2 linked regions of the Canis lupus familiaris genome follow. The protein of the gene in region 1 interacts with the protein of each later gene in a pairwise test. Links are inferred from orthologs where the notes say so. Each region holds a gene or a part of one and is shown on either strand. Other genes may lie near its edges.

Region 1 (3,095 bases):
CACCACGGGGGCTGCATTTGTGTGGCTGGCGACACACTGATTGCTTTTGTGGGGGGAATGCCTCTGGGCAGGCAGGGAGACACGCAAGCGTGGGTTGTAGGGAGGACGCAGTCCTTCTACAAACAGGCAGGGAGCCCCGCTCCACCCGCCTGCGCCCCTCTGCTCCTGACAGCCTTGCCCACGGGGAACACCTCTCCTCCCAGGACTGCTGCACCTGTACGTCAGCACCTTGGCTGCTAGCCTGACTTTAACGTGGCCCAGGAGGCCTGTACAATGCCCCCACCAGCACACCTGGCCTCCTCCTGACCTTCCAGCTCAGTGCACGCACCACCCTCTACAGGGTTTCTGGAGACAAACACTCTCCCGCTCAGCCTTGCCTCCTCCCTCCACTGCAGCCACTGGAGAGGCCGGTCAGCTCTGCTCCAGAACCCACGGCACAGGAAGGCCACCCTGCTCAGTGACTGCGGGGCCTCCCCTGGCCCTGATGCACCCCGGTCCCCACTCAGCCCTCATCACACAGAGGAGAGACCAGGCCACGTCTGCCTTCTGCTCCAGCATCTCCCACACAGTCCCGACCAGCCCCAGTCCGCACCCCTGGTGTCGCCGTCGGGCCACAGCAGGTGCCACACAGGGCACCCCGGCTGCCACTCCAGGTCTCGGCACCAGCTGACCTAGCGGGGACGGCCTTTCCTCCGAGTCAGCAGGTCCAGCCACCCCTCACCCCGGAGCAAACCATCCCTGCAGCCCCTCCAGGACCCTGCTTCATGGCCTCCACAGCACCCCGTTCTCCATCTGCCCCTCTCCCACCTAGAACAGGTGCTCGGCCAGAGCAGCGGCCTGCTTCCCTTCCCAGCCGCATCCCCGGAAGCACACGTGCTTGCGAGCTGGGAGAGAGCAAGCTGGAGCCACAGCCGCTCTCCTGGGGGCGAGACACGGGATGGGCCAGAGCCGGGAGGCCTGGGCCAGCAGCCTTGATGACGGCCACCCGGCAAGTGTGAGGGACTGCTCAGATGTGGCCGTCAGCTCAGCTTTGCCGAGGACCCGGCAGGTGGCAGGGAGCTAAGGGTGGGGCCCCGGGGCGGCCACCCTGAGGGCACGCACTGTCCTACCCCCTGGCCTGAGGCCTTCACGTCCCCTAGGCCACGCTCACCTCCCACAGCCCCAGTGAGGGGGGTCCGGGCAGTGGCCCCACTTTACAGACGAGGATGCTAAAGCCAGGGAGCTGGAGTCATGGCCCTGGTTGCGCAGGGGGCAAAGCCCGGTCCATTGTGGGGTCCCTGGGGTGCGGTTTGCTCTCTGGGGGAGCCCCCCGCCCCTGGCAGAGCTGCGGCCGCTGCCCCTCGGCTCACTCACTGGAAGCAGTTCCTGGCCCCGGCGGTGGCCCGCAGGTACCGGCGCAGGGAGTCCACGAACTCGCCCAGCTGCTCGGGGCACACGGCCATCTCCTGCCGGACCAGCTGCAGGTGCTGTGGGGCCACGGGGTGAGTGAGCTTGGGCGCCCCGGGCCTGGCACCCGCCTCCCCGCCCCCGGGCACAGCCCCACACCCGGCCTCCCCAGGCCTGCCCTCCGAGACCATGGGACAGCTTGGTCAAAACAAAACCAACAACCCCTCACGTGTGCGACACGCCCTTCATCCTGCCACATGCAAGCCGGCTATAAAGAACTAGGGCTTAAGAGCTAAAAGCAGACGGGAGCCCCACCAGGGCCGGCACCCAGCAAGGGTGTTTAAAGAGGCCCTACGGGCATCAGGAGCGGCCGGGCCGTCTGGGCTGACACACAACAAAACCAGTGCCCGGCAAAATCCACTTCTGGGTGGATTTGGTGTCACTGCGCTGGTCACTTTGCTCTGAGCCAAGCTGTTTGTGATCAGAGGACAGCCCTGGGAGGGGCAGGTGGCCAGGTGCCGGGGCTGCATCTCCCCTTGTGGGGTACCCAGGGGAGGGGTGCCAAGGACATCGAGCTGCCTGCATCACGTCCTGGCTCAGGCAGGGATGGGGCCGCAGGGAGCGGCAGAAAGGGAGCAGGCCTCACCATGTTCGTGCCTTCTTCGTCCGCAAGGCGCTGCTGGAGGTCAAACCAAATGGTCTGAAACACCAAGCACAAAGACGTGTTGGGGACAGAGGCCACCTCCCTCAGAGAGGCCTCCAGGACCACCACGACGAGCCTGAAGCCATTAAAGAGCTCCAGCCTCTCCACCCCAAGGTTCCAGGGGCTCTGGGGTCCCCTGGCAGCTAGACAGGGCTCGGTCCACCCTCCACGCACAGTGCTGGCTCCGAGGGGAGCTGGGAAGCCAGGCTGGCAGCCAGACCAGAGGAAGCAGCAGAGATCCAGACCCACTCAGCGGGTGGCCTTGGGACAGGCAGCAATGGGGGCTTGAGTCTTTTTGCCACACTTGTTGGCAAAGGTCCCGAGATTCCCCGACTTACCACCACTCACCCCAAGTCATAACCCCTGGGGCCTTGGAGATCTAATGGTCTGAACAGGGTGGTCTGTATCACTGGCCTCCCACAGGCCTTGCTCCGAACGCTTTACAAGTACATCTTGCTGAACTCTCTAGACTCTCCGAGGTAGGGGCCACCCCACTGTAAGCTCCAAGGAGGCAGGAACCCCGTGTCTAGAACAGAGTACGTGCTGGACACGCTCAAGGTCCCACAGCCGAGGACCTGGGCTCCAAGGGCCACAGCAGCGGGGCTAGAGCTGGAGCCTGTCTTCGAAGCCAGGGCCTCTCCTCCTGACCCACAAATTCATTATTCCTTTTCGACATGGGTACCCCAATAAAGGCCACCTTTGTGTCATCCCTGTCCATCCCTCCACGAGGACAGCCTGTGTCTCTGGCACACAGACCTGAGTCTGTCCTCTCTCGTGTGGAGGCGGCACCCCGGCTGGTTAAGGGAAACAATGGTAACTGCGCATGAGACCCTGTGCAGCTGCCACCACCTGGAAATATCTTCATGTCTGAACACGGGGCCCTGCATGCTCCTTCTGCAGGTACCCATGCGGGCCCTCACGATCTCCACAGCTGCTCCTGCATTAAGTACTGACTTCTCAGAGACTCGGGCTGCAAAGAGCTCTACAGGTGGCCAAGGTGTGCCTG
Region 2 (3,651 bases), on another chromosome or scaffold:
TAAGGGAAGGAGGGAAAGAGATGGCTTGGGGGCAGAGTTCAGGGTCACCCCTTGTCACTTCTCTCCTCTTCCAGGGACCAGAATAAGTATAAGGAAGCTGCCCACCTGCTGAATGATGCCCTCAGCATCCGGGAGAGCACCCTGGGCCGCGACCACCCTGCTGTCAGTACTCCTTGCCTCCTCCTTTTCTGGCTTCTCTTCATTTGTGTATCCACTGCCCTCAACCCACTTGCTAGGGGTGCTCTGGGAGGAGGTGTGAGGGCTCCTTTCTTCAGGCCCTGTCTGCTAAGACCAGTGGTTCTCAATTCTTTGAGACACAATGACTTTTCCTTATAATGAATATTTTTCTGAAACATAATTCACAGACACTGTAACTGACATACACGTAGAATTCCAAAAAATGTTGAGTGATACCTCATTAATATAAAAATGAGGAAAGCAACTTAGAGAAAAATAACATGTAGAATATGTACTATGAAATGACAGGGTAACAGTTTTAAGTACAACTATGGCAGAAAACATAACATATAACTTAAATACAACATAATATACAACTTTAGATTTAGAAAAAGTGAGACCAGTAAGACTACTGTATATAAAAAGTACTAGAAAAATGACAGAGCAGGGGCTCCTGGATGGCTCAATCAGAAGAGCAGGAGACTCTTGATCTTGGGGTCTACGCCCCATGTTGGGCATAGAGATTCTAAAAAATAAATAAAAAGTATTTTAAAGTGTCACTTTAAAAAGTGACAGAAAAAAAATGACAGCAGAAGTACTGGTGGATACAAGATTAAAATCCTGTGTCACACCAAGTAACTACAGGTCGGATCTATTCGTATATGATGAGAAAAAGAAAAATGATAGATTGTCATAATGGAGAAAATGAGAAACAAGATATTTTTGCAAATGAGCTGACTTTAGGAAAATAATTCCTTATGTTCCCCCACGTGATAGGCAGGGATGATGTAGCTGAGCAAACAACTCCTATCTTGAGATCCCACTAAGTGTCAAGGCTTACAGTGTTCAAATGTCTGGCAGGACACTGCAGAGTTAACAGAGCTTTACCCCACGTGCAGAACATCTGCCAACCTTACCTTCCCAGAGGTAATAGTGGCCCCGGTGTTTATGGTGACCCAAAACCCCACCTCCAGAAATATCTACAAATCCCCCTAGAGGGCGGTACCACCCCCAGAGAGAACCTCAGCACCTCCAGGTCAGCATCTTCTCCCCTACCTAGGGGTAGGATGGCAGAGTTCCTTTATCCTGGGAGTGGTGCAGTGTGGGGCCCTGTTGTGCAGGGGGAGGCCTCTGAAAGCACCAATGCTTAGGGGGACAGGCCTGTCTTCCTAGGTGGCTGCCACACTCAATAATCTGGCTGTGCTCTATGGCAAAAGGGGCAAATACAAGGAGGCGGAGCCACTGTGCCAGCGTGCACTGGGGATTCGAGAAAAGGTACCTGTGCTTTCTCCATCTTCTCTGATGCGGTGGTCCTTCCTCAACCATCTCTCTTCCAGTCTGCCCTCTTCCCTCATTTTTGTTCTCAACCCCCTATGTCTGCCTTGTTCCCTTTCCTGTCATTCCCTTCCCTTGTTCCCCACATGGTTATGTGCACACGTGTTGTACACACACACACACACACAGTCCTAGCCACCTGTCACACTCCTTTACTTCCTTCCAGGTCCTGGGCACAGATCACCCAGATGTGGCAAAGCAGCTGAACAACCTGGCCCTGTTGTGCCAAAACCAGGGCAAGTATGAGGCCGTGGAACGCTATTACAGGCGGGCACTGGCCATCTATGAGGGGCAGCTGGGGCCAGACAACCCTAATGTAGCCCGGACCAAGAACAACCTGGTAAGGGAGGAAGGGGAGAAGTCAGTGGAGGGAGGGGAAGGGAAAGTACCATAATGTACAACACTCACCCCATCACCTTTGCGCAAAGGGGCTGCCTGTGGGGCTGAGGGATCTGCCTCATTCCTGTGGGAAGGCCGAGTCCCAGAGCCTCCTGGGAGTGGAATGAACACCCTTGACCATCCGGCTTGAAAAGGAAGGATGAGGAGGATCTCTGGGGAAAGTCATAGGGAGACCAAGAAGTGGAAATCCCTGAGCCCTGCTAAGACCTTGTCTCTGTCCCGTGTTTTTTCCTTTCTGCGCACAGGCTTCCTGTTACCTGAAACAGGGCAAATACGCTGAGGCTGAGACGCTCTACAAAGAGATCCTGACCCGTGCACATGTTCAGGAGTTTGGGTCTGTGGATGGTGAGCAGGGTGGGCCTGGGGAGGGACCTGCAGGGTGTGAAGAAATGCAGAGCAGGGGCGCCTGGGTGACTCAGTCTGTTGAGAGTCAGACACTTTTTTAAGATTTTTTTTTTTAAAGATTGTATTAATTTATTCATGAGAGAGACACACAGAGAGAGAGGCAGAGACACAGGCAGAGGGAGATGCAGATTCCATGCAGGGAGCCGGACGTGGGACTCGATCCCGGGTCTCCAGGATCACACCCTGGGCTGAAGGCGGTGCTAAACCGCTGAGCCACCCAGGCTGCCCTAAGATTTGTTTTTTTTTTTAAGATTTTATTTATTTATTCATAGAGACACAGCTAGAGAGAGAGAAGCAAAGACACAGGCAGAGAGAGAAGCAGGCTCCATGCAAGGAGCCCGACATGGGACTCGATCCCGGGTCTCCAGGATCACGCCCTGGGCTGCAGGCGGTGCTAAACCGCTGCGCCACCGGAACTACCCCAGATTTTTTTTTTTTTAAAGATTTATTTATTTATTCAGAGAAAGAGAGAGAGGCAGAGACACAGGCAGAGGGAGAAGCAGGCTCCATGAAGGGAGCCCGACATGGGACTCGATCCTGGGTCTACAGGATCACACCCCGGGCTGCAGGCGGCGCTAAACTACTGCGCCACCAGAGCTGCCCAGATTATTTTTTTTTAATTCATGAGAGACACACAGACCGGCAGAGACATAGACAGAGGGAGAAACAGGCTCCATGCAGGGATCCCAATGCAGAACTCGATCCTCAGACTGCAGGATCATACCCTGAGCCGAGGGTAGACGCTTAACCAATGAACCACTCAGGGCGTCTTGAGCGTCAGACACTTGATCTCTGCTTAGGTCTTGATCCCAGGGTTGTGAGTTCAAGCCCTGTGTTGGGCTCCACCTGTGGAGTCTACTTAAAAAAACAAAAACAAAATGTAGACCAACGGTGGGGGGTTAGGCCCTAGTGGTTCTCAGGCATTTGGGTCCTGGCTCCCCCTTGTACTGTCTAGCTGTGTTCTCTAATCTTACCACCCCATCCCATATATCACCCCTAGATGACCATAAGCCCATCTGGATGCATGCAGAGGAGCGGGAAGAAATGAGCAAAGTGAGTATGGGGCCCAGCGTGGAGAGGACCTCTATCTGAGCCTCTGGCTTACTCCTTGCACCTGCCTTGCTTATTTCCCACATGAGCATCAGCCCCAGCTGCATGGTGCCGTGGCCTTCTCTAGCGCAGCCCACAACTTGGCCCACAGCCAGCCTGCTGGTGCCACAGCATCTCTGTGCTCTCATCTTCCTTCCTCTCCCTTCTGTCCTGCAGAGCCGGCACCGAGATGGCGGCACACCCTACACTGAATATGGAGGCTGGTATAAGGCCTGCAAAGTGAGC

What was found. The genes of interacting proteins can lie anywhere in the genome.
Region 2: the proteins of NECAB2 (region 1) and KLC4 interact in binary tests that used the Homo sapiens proteins (3 or more experiments, as listed by UniProt). The two-hybrid records come from large-scale screens. The link is inferred for Canis lupus familiaris from reciprocal best matches to the Homo sapiens genes NECAB2 and KLC4.

What each region holds. Positions count from the first base shown.
Region 1 is NC_049226.1:68,814,430-68,817,524, forward strand, and holds part of NECAB2 (N-terminal EF-hand calcium-binding protein 2), read right to left. Parts: intron 2,087-3,095; coding exon 2,033-2,086; intron 1,467-2,032; coding exon 1,354-1,466; intron 1-1,353. UniProt on the Homo sapiens protein: May act as a signaling scaffold protein that senses intracellular calcium.
Region 2 is NC_049233.1:11,773,263-11,776,913, forward strand, and holds part of KLC4 (kinesin light chain 4), read left to right. Parts: intron 1-74; coding exon 75-162; intron 163-1,350; coding exon 1,351-1,452; intron 1,453-1,678; coding exon 1,679-1,852; intron 1,853-2,156; coding exon 2,157-2,256; intron 2,257-3,316; coding exon 3,317-3,369; intron 3,370-3,582; coding exon 3,583-3,651.